Cricetulus griseus: one gene and its partners. Each later gene encodes a partner of the first gene's protein in a complex. Links are inferred from orthologs where the notes say so. Each region holds a gene or a part of one and is shown in the gene's direction. Other genes may lie near its edges.

Evidence for each region.
Region 2: the proteins of Sumo1 (region 1) and Daxx are in contact, whole or in part, in an NMR structure (PDB 2KQS), measured with the Homo sapiens proteins. The link is inferred for Cricetulus griseus from reciprocal best matches to the Homo sapiens genes SUMO1 and DAXX. Residues at the interface, in NP_001005781.1 of Homo sapiens: Lys17, Glu18, Tyr21, Ser32, Ile34, Phe36, Lys37, Val38, Lys39, Thr41, Thr42, His43, Lys46, Leu47, Ser50, Tyr51, Arg54, Gln55; in NP_001135441.1 of Homo sapiens: Glu731, Glu732, Ile733, Ile734, Val735, Leu736, Asp738, Ser739, Asp740.
Region 3: the proteins of Sumo1 (region 1) and Pml are in contact, whole or in part, in a crystal structure (PDB 8DJI), measured with the Homo sapiens proteins. The link is inferred for Cricetulus griseus from reciprocal best matches to the Homo sapiens genes SUMO1 and PML. Residues at the interface, in NP_001005781.1 of Homo sapiens: Gly19, Glu20, Tyr21, Ile22, Lys23, Ser32, Glu33, Ile34, His35, Phe36, Lys37, Val38, Lys39, Thr42, Lys46, Leu47, Ser50, Arg54, Glu84; in NP_150241.2 of Homo sapiens: Glu554, Arg555, Val556, Val557, Val558, Ile559, Ser560, Ser570, Ser571, Ser572, Arg573.

Annotation. Positions count from the first base shown.
Region 1 is NC_048595.1:413,930,895-413,935,046, reverse strand, and holds the start of Sumo1 (small ubiquitin-related modifier 1), read left to right. Parts: upstream 1-1,352; 5' UTR 1,353-1,497; coding exon 1,498-1,509; intron 1,510-4,152. UniProt on the Homo sapiens protein: Ubiquitin-like protein that can be covalently attached to proteins as a monomer or a lysine-linked polymer.
Region 2 is NW_023276806.1:232,098,472-232,102,680, reverse strand, and holds the start of Daxx (death domain-associated protein 6), read left to right. Parts: upstream 1-1,409; 5' UTR 1,410-1,545; intron 1,546-1,679; exon of another isoform or gene 1,680-1,834; intron 1,835-2,804; 5' UTR 2,805-2,820; coding exon 2,821-3,027; exon of another isoform or gene 3,028-3,168; intron 3,169-3,301; coding exon 3,302-4,133; intron 4,134-4,209. UniProt on the Homo sapiens protein: Transcription corepressor known to repress transcriptional potential of several sumoylated transcription factors. Down-regulates basal and activated transcription.
Region 3 is NC_048597.1:169,852,343-169,856,451, reverse strand, and holds the start of Pml (protein PML), read left to right. Parts: upstream 1-1,309; 5' UTR 1,310-1,434; coding exon 1,435-1,563; intron 1,564-3,317; coding exon 3,318-3,778; intron 3,779-4,109.

The DNA of each region.
Region 1 (4,152 bases):
TCTAGTCGCCTCATTACTAACTATAGAAAAGATTCTTTTTTTTTTTTTAAATAAAGACTTCCTAGATTTTTTAAAAGATTTATTTATTTATCATGTATACAGTGCATGCCAGAAGAGGGCACCATATCACAATACAGATGGTTATGAGCCACCATGTGGTTGCTGGGAATTGAACTCAGAACCTCTGGAAGAACAGTCAGTGCTCTTAAACCCTGAGCCATCTCTCCAGCCCCTAAGAAAAGATTCTTTTTTTTTTAATAGATTTTATTTATTATGTATACAACATTCTGCTTCCATGTATATCTGCACACCAGAAGAGGGCACCAGATCTCATAAGGGATGGTGAGCCACCATGTGGTTGCTGGGAATTGAACTCAGGACTTCTGGAAGAGCAGTCAGTGCTCTTAACCTCTGAGCCATCTCTCCAGTCCGAAAAGATTCTTTTACTAACGTCTTATACTGTGAAAGGTTATTGATTTATTTAGAATTTTCATTTTTGCCGGGGGTTGGGGGGCGTGGTGGCACATGCCTCTAACGCAGCAGAGTCTAGAATAGTCTACAGAGTTCCAGGACAGGCTCCAAAGCTACACAGAGAAACTCTGTATCGGAAAAACACACACAACAATTATTTTTTCAATTTTACTCTTTTTACTTATATATCCGTAATCCACACTTAATGCCTGTGCAAGAAGGTCGTGGTAGTCAAAGAATTTTAGGTCTTTCTGTGACGAAAGGCAAATAGTTAATAGGTTGGAGGTAGCTCCTTCTGCCTATAACTTCAAACTTAAAAACTTTCAACATTTTAGTCATCTACAGCTCTTAAAACTGTCCTAGAGCTGGGGGCAGAGGTAGGAGACTCTATGTGAGTTCGAGGCCAGGCTGATCTACATAGTTCTAGAGCGGCCAGGGTTGCTCAAAAAACAAAAATAAAAACAAAAAATATGTGTTCTAAGGGGTCGTCTTTTCGTTGTGGTCCTAAATCAAGGTCATGAGTGTGCTGGCAGCAAACAAGAGAAGGTAATAAAAATATTATACCGGCGATTCCCTATATTTAGGGACGGTTAGTAAGGTTGGGAGCAGACAAAAGAACTTGGTTTAGCTCGGAGAAGCGCGCAAGGTGTCCGAGAGGGAGGAGTCTAGGATGTCGGTTTGACCCCAAACATTCAGCCTGGTGGCGATGCCCTGGTCTCCCTAGGGGGCTGAGGCAGCCGGCCGGGTCTCCCAGCGGCAGAACACACAGTCGTTCTCTTGCTCCGGGCAAGCAATTTTACAGGTCAGACGCCCCAAGGCCTTTCCCCAAGGCGTTTTCCCGCCTCCTTTTCCCGTCTTCCCAAAGTCTCCTTTGCGCGCAGCGGAAGTGACGCAATACGTAGCGGAAGTCCCTGCAGCCGCGGTGTTGTGCTGTGGGGAAGAGACAGATTTGTAAACCTCAGAGTGAGGTTCTGCCTGCCGGAGGCCGCTGTGGTGCGGAGACCCCCGGGCGAAGCCACCATCACCATGTCTGACCAGGTACTGGGCCAGGGCATCGGGGCTCAGAGCTGTCGGCCGCTGGCTGGGCCCGGGGACCGCGGCGCGGGGGAGGGGACGCAGCTGGGGGAGGGGGCTGCTGCTGGGGAGGGGGCCGCGAGGGACGCGGAGCGCCCGGCCGAGTCGGGCCCAGCCGCCCGGGACCGCGGGGCTCCGGGGAACACCCGCCCTCCGCCGCCTTCCCCGCGCCCCCCTCCCGCTGCCCCGCGCCGCGGCTCTCTCGACGGCTCCCAGGTTTCTCGCGGGTCCGCCGGGGGCCCAGGCCCGCTCCTCTGTCCCCGAGAGCAACCTAAGAGAAATCGACCGTTTCCCTTCAGAGGACCGATGGCAGAAACAGGGCCCCAGGCCTAGTTATGTAACGGGAGGGAATCCCTGACTGGGAGGGTAGGTAGCCCCGAAAAGCTGCTCCACTCCACTTTGGGTTCTTGGTCTCGGAGTGGGGGGCGGAGAGGAAGCCTGGCCTGAGGTTCCTGGGACCCAGAAGACGCTGCTTTCCGTTGTGTTTGCCGGGAGGGCCTGTCCGCCTCTGCTCCCTTCTGCGTCTTTTTTTTTTTTTTTTTTTTCCATCTGGGGGGTGCGGATCGGTCGGCTCTTTTTCTGTACTTTCCATTTCTTACTCGGGATTGGTCCATCAACTCTCTAGTTGTAGGAGAGTTCAGAATAACCGAGAAACAAACGAAACTAGGTTAGAGTACCACCACCAACAAGCCATTTATTTCATCTGGGCATTAGCCTGCTTATGATTGTTACATTTTCAAAAATGGCACTTTTTTTTAACATAGTCAATTTTATACACGTAAACGACGTATCTTGGTTATATGCACCTCCATATCACCCTCTTCCAGGTGATATTTTTGAGGAAAATAGAAAAACTGAATATTTACAGCTGCAGAATGTTTACAGAAAGCTGCCAATTAATAGTAAAATGCTGTGTCTCCGTATTAATGTTAAGAATTTGCATGGTATTGGCATTCAAATTAGGAATACTGCCACCTTAATTTCCTTCATCCCATTTTTGTTTACCACGTTTGTGGCTAGTTTTAATACATAGGATTTTTATCTGTTTTTCCTTTTGTTTGCTTAGAGGACTGAATTTTCAAATTTTTTTTGACGTTTGTCTATAATGATAATTATTCAGTAAACTTTTCATTCAGCACCACAGTGTAGTTGAACTGTTTTCTTTTAATTTAATCTTATTTATTTATTTATTTATTTATTTAATTGTTTTTCGATACAGGATTCTCTGTGTAGCCTTGGCTAACCTGGAACTGCTCTGTAGACCAGGCTGGCCTCAAACTCAGAGATTCCCAGCCTTTGCTTCCTGAGTGCTGGGATCAAAGGCATGCTTCCCCACCACCTGGATAATATGGTTCTATTTTTGTAGCCTATCCATAATGTAGATTAATTGTGGGGTAGATTTGTTTATAAATAATCTGGATTAATTCTGTTTAATCTGGATAGAAATTCGTTTATGAATATCTCTCCAGATAGTTCCGAGTAAGGGAGGAAAGATGAGCTGTAAATGCTTAGTTTCATCAGTCTTTTATTTTAGAAGGAACTAGAAGGCATGTCAGCCTGATGAAGGGCAACATACAGTTAGAAATTTTAAAATTATTTTTGCTCTAGTTTGAACTCACATCATTTAAGAATATGGAGAAAGGCTCTAAAGCTACACAGAGAAACCCTGTCTTGAAAAACTATTAAAAAAAAAAAAAGATTATGGAGAAAGGAAAAGAGAACCTAGGACACAGGCTGTTTTCAGGGGATCTGTGAAGCCACACTAGGGTGTAGTACTTGTTACTGGGCACTGAACTTAGGGCTCACATGTGTACATGCCAGACAAGCACTATACCACTGAGCTAGATCCGAATCTCTTATACTTAGTCTCACTATGTTGCCTAGGTTGTTCTTGAACTTCATTCTGTAGCACAAGGTGTCTTTGAACTCGGAATAAATACTCCTCCCTCACTTATCGTTGCAGAGTAGGGAGGATTAGAGTTATGCCATACCTGGCTAGTCCATGTGTGATTTGTTTATTTTTTTTTTTGTCCCGTGTTGTTCCCCCCCCCCCCCCCCAGGGTTTCTCTGTATTGCTTTGGAGGTTGTTCTGGAACTCTGCTCTGTAGACCAGGCTGGCCTCTGCCTCCCAAGTGCTGGGATTTTCTTTTGTTTTTGAGATAGGGTCTTACTATGTAACCTTGGCTGCCCTGGAACTCATTCTGTAGTTCAGGCTGGCCTGGAACTCACAGAGGTCTGCTTGCTTCTGTCCTCTGAGTGCTGGAGTGAAAGATGTGCATCACAATACCTGACAAACTTTTGTTTTGTTTTGTTTTGTTTTCAAGACAAGATTTCTTTGTAGCTTTGGAGCCTGTCCTGGAATTCACTTTGCCTGCTTCTGCCTCCCAAGTGCCACCACCACCTGGCCCAAAACAAGTCTTTTTAATTGAGCTACACAGTAAAGCAATATGCAAGAGTGTGAAATAGTGCTACTTTTAGAAATTTTGACTTGAAGAAAAAGTATGCTAACATTTTAGGGGTTATTTATTTTGTTTTCTAAGACAGAGTTTCTATGTGTAGCCCTGATTGTCCTGGAACTTGCTCTGCAGACCAGGCTGGCCTCAAACT
Region 2 (4,209 bases), on another chromosome or scaffold:
ACCTTAAAACCTTCTTCCTATTGCTCTCAGCATGAGGCTCACAACGCCTGTCCCAGGGGTCAGTTGCACTCTTCTGGCCTTCGTGGCCATCAGACACACAGGGTGTAGATGCATACATGCTGGCAAAACACCCGCACACGTAAGACAAAGTTCTTCTGAGTAATTGGAATTATTGCAAGAACAGAAGTGACCAGACAGCGTAAAGCTCATGTTTATGTGTATTCATTATATAATGTATTCTGGTCATTGTCACCTCTATTGTCACTCCCCCACCCCCCTCTGGCTCCCATGGAAGCCCCCACCCCCACTCAGCACTTTTCTCCATCTTCCAGCTCTTACATTTATTCTTTCAACCTCCTAGTCTTCCAAGTTCTCTCAGAGCCTAGGACTTGCTGTCAGCTCGTGTAACTGCTGTTTAAAAGTCTATCTATTTGACTTTGTATGGGTGTTTTGCCTGCATACATGCATGGTCATTATGAGCTCGCCCTACTGGATGCCCGGGGACTGGGGCTACAGATGACTGCTTCACTATGTAAAGGCAGGGTCCCCCTTCTCACTTTCCCAGGCACTCACATTGTGCACAGAGACTTACAGGGACACACACACACACACACACACACACACACACACACGAGAAAATAAATAATTGTGGAAAAATAGGGAATCTTTGGGGCTGGAGAGATGGCTCAGAGGTTAAGAGCACTGGCTGGTCTTCCAGAGGACCTGAGTTCAATTCCCAGCACCCACATGGTGGCTCACAACCACTTGTAATAGGATCTGATGCCCTCTTCTGGCCTGCAGGCATACATGTGGACAGTGCACTCGTACCTAAAAAAAATCATTAAAAAAAAAAAAAAAGAAGATAGGGAATCTTCATTTCAGGCATCCACTCAGGAAAACCCATTCTGAGAAACCCACGGATAAGGAAATTATATTCATCATCTTCAGATGATAATCAATGATTAACCATTGAAGAACTTCCTTTCCCCATTTAAATGCCGTAAGCTAGTTGGGGCACCGGACAGGAGGCGGGGTGCGGCAGGGTGCTCACCGACCCGGCTTCCCCACGGGCACCCCTGCGGGCCTCACCTGCCGGCCCCTTTTCTCCGCAGCTCTCCGGGAGGAGGAGCCTCCCTTCGCGTCCCGGCGCTGCCAGCGGCGGCCTGCGAACAGTTCCTCACTTGTGCAGCTGGCTGAGCTCGTTGGTGTGCACGCGTGTGAGCGCCCGGGGCGGGTAGGGCGAGCGCGGGCGAGCGTGGGCCGCCAGGAGTGCTCGCGGCCGAGACTCGCGAGGAGGGAGCGTCAGGCTGCCCCGCAACCCGGGGCAGGGACACCCGCTTTCACTTTGTCGTTCCCTGGAGCCCGCTCCGTAGGTGCCCCGCGGGGGCGGGGCCGGGGCCGGGGGCGGGGCCGGGTCCCTTCCCCTCGCAGGAGCCGGGGCTCGCCCAGACGGCGTCGGGGAGGCCCGAGGCACGGAGTTCCTGACTGGCCGAGTGGCTTCGGGCCGCTCCGGGTGCGAAGAGCCCCACGCCTTCCCCGAGGAAGGTCCGTACCGCAACATGGCGCGCCCCACCTCCCCGGGCTCCGCCCCGCCTCCCCGGGCCCCGCCCCCTCGGGCGCCGCGAGCCGCGTCCTGGGTGGGTTGGTCACGCGGCACTTCCGGCTCGTGGGGCGGACCGCGTTCCGTACAGCAACATGGCCGCCCCCAGGTGTGGTGGGCGGAAGCTCCGCGGCTTCCGGTCCGTCGTGGGGCCTGCGGGGAAGGGAAGGCGGAGGGAACCATGCGAGGTTCTTTGATCCGCGGTGAGGACGGCCTCGAGAGACCGTTTCAGAGGTGGGGGCCGGGCCCTCGTGCGCGTTTCGGGGTGGCGGTGGCAGTGGCGGTGGCGGAGGCGGAGGCGGTGGCGGTGGCGGTGGGGCCGGCGTGGCGAGAGCGAGGGGCCGGCGGGGCCTGGGGGCCGCGGGCTGCCTTGCTGGCAGTCGAGGGGAGTGAGGCGGCCTGGTCAACGGGGGGAGGGGCTCCTTGGCGGGAAGCTGAGCCGGGACCGGCGCGGATGGGGCGGGAGCCCGGGTGCCAGGCGTGCTCGGCGGGGGGCTCGCTGTCGGTTACGGCCGCGGAGAATTGCGGGGCGAGCCGGGGTGCGGTGAGAGGGCGGGGACTCGGGGTGAAGGTCTCCAGCCCTCAGGTCCCGGGTTGAGGAAACCCGGTGGGAGGTGGAACGCGGAGGGGACTGGAGGAGGGGACGGGCTTCAGCTGGAGTCAATGAGTTGGACTTAGGGTGGTGGCTCAAGCCTTCTAATCCTAGCGCTCGGGCGGCAGAGCTCTTGAGTTCGAGGCCAGCCTGGTCTACAGAGCGAGTGCCAGCATAGCCAGGGCTGTTACACAGGGAAACCCTGCCTTGAAAAACAGAAAAAGGGAAAAGCTCGAAGCGCTTCCATTGTGGTGTTTGAGGGAGACGGTGGAACCGACAGGGTGTTGGGTTTTGTAGACAGGGTCAGGGGAACTCAAGAGGCCAGTGTGGACGTTGTCCTGGGATAAGAAGAAACTTCCCAGCTGACACAGAGGGGAAAACAAAACTGACAGACCGGAAATTGACGGAGGGGTGGAGTTCAGGGTGGGGATTTAAGATGATCCGGAGGTTTGCTCCCCAGAACTGCTTGAAACTGGTAGTTGTTGAAGACGGGCTTTGAAGAGGGTTAGGGCAGGACTGAGGGTCCCTGCTGGGGTGGGGCTCTGCAGGAGGGGCTCTTCCTGTGGTCCCCTTGTTCTAGAATTCTGACTTTTCCAACACTTCCTCCCTTAGGGGGATTTGATCCCCCATGGCCTCCGCTGACAGCATCATTGTGCTGGATGACGACGATGAAGATGAAGCAGCTGCTCAAGCGGGGCCCTCACAGCTCCCCTCCAGTCCTGTCTCACCAGGGCCAGAAGCCTCTGGTCCCTCTGAGTCCCATGGGAATGGAAGAAGCCGTAACTCAGGTGGCAGGAAGTGCTACAAGTTGGAGAACGAGAGGCTGTTTGAAGAGGTAAGCTTCAGAGAAGGCGCCTTTTGTTTTTGAGACAGGGTCTCACTGTGTCACCCTGCCTGCCTGGAACTGTCTAGATGAGGCTGGCCTTGAACCCACAGAGTTCCACTTGCCTCTGCCTCCTGAGAGCTGGGATAAAAGGTGTGAACCACTATGACCTGACAGGGAAGATGGAAGGAAAGGGGGATTGGCTCTCTTGTTCTGATTTTCCCACTAATTCCATTTTTTTTTTTAAATGCCTTCCTGTCTCCCACCCTTTCCACGAACTCTTCAGTTCCTCGAACTGTGTAAGGTACAGACATCCGACCACCCTGAGGTGGTTCCATTCCTCCACAAACAGCAGCAGCGTGCCCAGTCTCTGTTTCTGGCCTCTGCAGAGTTTTGCAACATCATGTCCCGGGTTCTGTCTCGGGCTCGGAACCGGCCAGCTAAGCTGTATGTCTACATTAATGAGCTCTGCACTGTTCTTAAAGCCCATTCAAATAAGAAGAAGCTGAACTTGGCTCCTGCACCCTCCACACCCAGTAAGCCCTCTGGTGATAACCCTCCCACAGAGTCCTCCTCTGAACTTACAAATGCTGAGAACACTGCCTCCAAGGCCTCAAGGACCCGTGGTTCGAGGAGGCAGATCCAGCGCTTGGAGCAGCTGCTGGCGCTGTATGTGGCAGAGATACGGCGGCTGCAGGAGAAGGAGTTGGATCTCTCGGAGCTGGACGACCCTGACTCCACGTATCTGCAGGAGGCCCGTCTGAAGCGGAAACTGATCCACCTCTTTGGGCGGCTGTGTGAGTTGAAGGACTGCTCCTCCCTGACTGGCCGGGTCATAGAGCAAAGAATCCCCTACCGTGGCACGCGCTACCCAGAGGTCAACAGGCGCATTGAGCGGCTCATCAACAAGCCAGGGCCTGATGCCTTTCCTGACTATGGTGACGTGCTGAGGGCTGTGGAGAGGGCGGCCACCCGGCACAATCTCGGCCTTCCCCGACAGCAGCTCCAGCTCATGGCTCAGGATGCCTTCCGGGATGTGGGCGTCAGGTTACAGGAGCGCCGACACCTCGACCTCATCTACAACTTTGGCTGCCACCTCACAGATGACTATAAGCCAGGTAGGAAGCTGTTGGGATGCCTCCTAGGGGTCCTTTAGGTTACGTGGGCTACGCCCCTGACCCTGCTTTCTCTTTT
Region 3 (4,109 bases), on another chromosome or scaffold:
ACATGATAAAGAAACTGAGGAAAGAAAACACAAATATTTGTACAGATTCTTAACAAAATATGGCAGAAATATCTGCCCACTGCATTTTATTGTTCTTAGCTTGATGGCCTAATTTTAGAGGTCAAGGAATACAGGTTAGCCTGGAAGTATGGGACACTTTCAAGGCCTCTCATAGACTCTAGGATGTTGGGTCTCTCTTCAGCACCCCTTCACCCCAAGTCTAAGTTTACAAAAGCAGGAACCTGTCACCATCCCTTCTGATCTGTTTCATATAGAAACACAGCATAGGATGGATGTACACAGGAGCCAGAAAAGTGGTTGGGAAAAGATGAAGTTGGAAGCCAAAGGCACTGGCCAATAAGACTACCTGCAGGTATGCCTTTTCCCTCACCCGCTGAGTTCTGAATTTCTTTTCACTGGTCAAGAGCTAACTTTCTATCTCCTTGCTCTCTCCACTGCTTCCCCCTGCCTCCCTCACATTCACCAGACTCACTGTCACTCAAGGCACCATCCTGTTCTGTCTTTCACCAATGTCCTTCCACCTGACTCAGGTCCTCCTCTGCAACCCCCAGTCACTTCTCATAAGCCTCCTGTCTCAAGGCCATCAGAGAGACACAGCTGAAGCCATGTACCAAACCTTCACCAATCTCCCGCCTTATGATCAATTTCCTCTTCTCTGGGACAATTCTTCAGGTGCTCCATCTCAAATCTGAAAATGGTCCTGACTACTTCCCAAACAGGCTCTCCTGTTTCAGACCTCCACCCCCTTCCAGGTGCTCATCTCTCTTTAAAGTGTCTCCGCAACGGTGAATCCTATTTTACCGTATGTTCCGTTTGTCAGCTGAGGAATGACTTTCCAGGCAGACATATACAAATACTGGGTCAAAGTCTTCACTTGGGGTGACTTGGGGGTTCTCCCAAAGTGGGGTGTATTTCTTAATAAAGAAATAGCCTGTCAAAGAGGGGTTCTTAACTAGGGAGGCACAAAGCTGTGCGGTGAGCTGAATAGCTCACAGAGAGATCTGCAACAGGGAAATGCCTCTGCCAACTCTGCATCTCTTCCAAAGTGCATATTGTGTGCGTGGCAGGATCTTTTTCTCGTAGAGCAATCAAACTCGCGATGTTTCTGCTTACAGAGCTATGCCATCACGCTGGGCTTGCTCGTTTGTTTGTTTGTTTGGTTAACCTCTCTGGTTCTACCAGAGGTGGCTCCAAAACTCCCCAATCTTTTCTAACTCCCGAAGGGTGACTTCAGAACCAGCCTCTCCGCCCCTAGACCCGCCCCAGTCCTGTCTCACTTCCTCTCGGGGGGCGGGTCCACGGCGGGTATCTCCCCGCTGGACAGCTGAGGCGGCTGAGTTTCGTTGCTCAAGTCTAGGATTCACCTCCCGCCCTCACAGACCCAATCCAGGAATCGAAACTGCACCGGTTTCCATGCAGAAGGCGCCCGCATCCTCTGGATCTCCCTGCCTCCAGCAGGAATCCATCCTGACCTCTACGCCCACCATGCCTTCCCGGGAGGACCCCTCCGAAGACCATGAACACAGCCAGAGCCCCACGGAGGTACTACTGGGTTAAGAGATGAAAGCCTGTTAGGGTTTTATTTGTTTACGTTGGTGGCGAGTTGAAAATGAAGGTTTTTATAGAGAAGGTAACTTAGTGTCCTAGAGAGACACACACCAAGGTCCTGACCCTCCTGTGTGGGCAGGGGTAGGAAGGATAGCATAGAATAAAAAGTTACCAGATTGAGTTAGGGAAGCCATGGGGATAGTTGGGTTGTAATGAGACGGGCCACTCCTACCCCGCAGAGCCTTGTCCTTTAGCTTCTACCTCAGATGAAAAACGTCCAGGGAGAAGGCCAGGCCAGGCCAGGAGTCCCGTTTGCTCTAGCCTGGAGCTAAAGGCATGCCCCAAACTTGACAAAATAATTTACTCCCCTCACCTGCAGCTGTGGTAGCACATGGCAGGAGCAACAGTACTCGAGATACAGGTGCTGGAGGATGGCCAGCCTTTTCTACAACTACAAAGAGTGTTCAAGACTGCCAAAGGCGACACAACAGGACCCGGTTTCAAATCAATATAAAAGAAACAAGTAAAACTTGGCCTCAACCAAAGTGTTGTCATAGCTAAAACCAGGGTGGCCTCTCTTATTTCTCTTACTGATTTTCATAGATTTACTTTATTTTATGTATATGAGGTTTAGGGTTTTTTGTTTCATTTTCTTGAGATAGGGTCTTGGCAGGACTGGAACTCACTGTGTAAACCAGGCTGGCCTCAAACGCGTAGAACCACCTGTCTTTACCTTCTGAGTGCTGGGATTAAAGGTGTGCACCCTTTAATGCCCTTCTCCTGTCACTTCTCTTAAGGAAGCTTAGTTCTTGGTTCTTCTGGAAGTTTTACCTCCACCTGCCATACTTATCTCCAAAGAAACTACTTCTATCCCTTTCGTCTTTATTCTTTTTCCCCCATCCCCTTCACAAAAGCTCAAATAACGTCACATTGCCATAACTTTTTAATTATTAGCATTATATAACTAAGGATTAACAATACTAGTTAATATTTATGGGTATTTCTCATGTGCCAGGCACTATACTGAGCACTTTGTACCCTTTAGACAATAGCTATACTTCCTGTTTCTATGAACTTAACTATTCTTAATATAAATGAAATTGCACAATATTTCTCACTTTATGGGAAACGTGCTTCACTTATAATGCCTTCAAGGTCCATCCACGTTGTTGCATGTAATCAAAATTTCATTCCTTTTAAAAGATGGATGATATTCCATTACATGTGCAGACACATTTTGTTGATGCATTCATGTGCTAATTGACACTTGGGTCGCTGTGACTATTGTGGTTAGTGCTGCTGGGCATGTTAGTATATAAATATCTGCTTGGAATTTTCCTCCAGTTCTTCTGAGTATATATGAAAGATGGAAGTTCTGATCATGTAGTAGATCTATGTCTAACTTTTGGAGGACCATAAGCACTTTAAATGAGGTTGGTACTTTAGTGAGTCCCTTGCCAAGGGACCTGAGTCCCTTGAAGGCAAAGATGTATCCAGTCTTGTATCTCAGGGCCTATTAGTGAGTTTAGCGGTAAGTAGATAGGTTCCCGGTAAATTGTGCAATGAGAGCTGCAAGGCCTGGGTAAATGAGGAACTGGGGTGCTGATACGCCAGAGCATAACCCAGTGACTTCCCTGGAATGGAATGCGAGGTCCTACCCTTTCCAGCTTCCTGAGACCAGTGGGGGAGGGGGAGGAGCAGGACTCCTGTACTTTCTGTAGGCCTCATTTCCCTCTTTGATTTACCAGCAAGCCATGAAGGAGGAATTCCAGTTTCTGCGCTGCCTGGGCTGCCAGGCCCAAGCCAAGTGCCCCAAGCTGCTGCCTTGCCTGCACACGCTGTGCTCTGGATGCCTGGAAGCGCCGGGCTTGCAGTGCCCCATCTGCCAGGTGCCTGGGGCCGGCGCTAATGCAGAAGCCCTAGATAACGTGTTCTTCGAGAGCTTGCAGCGGCGCCTGGCGGTGTTCCGGCAGATCGTGGATGCGCAGGCAGCGTGCACCCGCTGCAAAGAGTCCGCTGACTTTTGGTGTTTCGAGTGTGAGCAACTCATGTGCGGCAAGTGCTTCGATGCACACCAGTGGTACGTCAAGCACGAGGCCCGGCCCCTGGCCGAGCTCCGTGAAAACTCAGTTTGCGAATTCCTCGACAGTACGCGCAAGTCCAACATCTTTTGCTCCAATTCCAACCATCGCAAACCTACGCAGACCAAGTAAGTGGGGCATCTTGGAGCCAAGGGTGGGAGCTTCAGGCAGCTTGTCATTCAACATGGGGTCCGCTGGCTTGTAGTTTCTAATGCCCCTCTGAAAAATATCATGGCGCTGCGGAATCATTCTTGCACCCTTACCTAGTACGTCTTTAGTACAAATTTTTTCAGAGTGCCATTGCAAGTGAGGTGTAAAAACAGTACGTTTTAATACAGGCCACCAAATTTTAGATGTCTTAAGAATGGATATTTCCTCAGGGGCCCCAGGAAATCTCAGTAAGGCTGGGTGTTAAGATAAGGAGCAAATAAATGGTGTCCGAAAAGTCGAAACTATGTC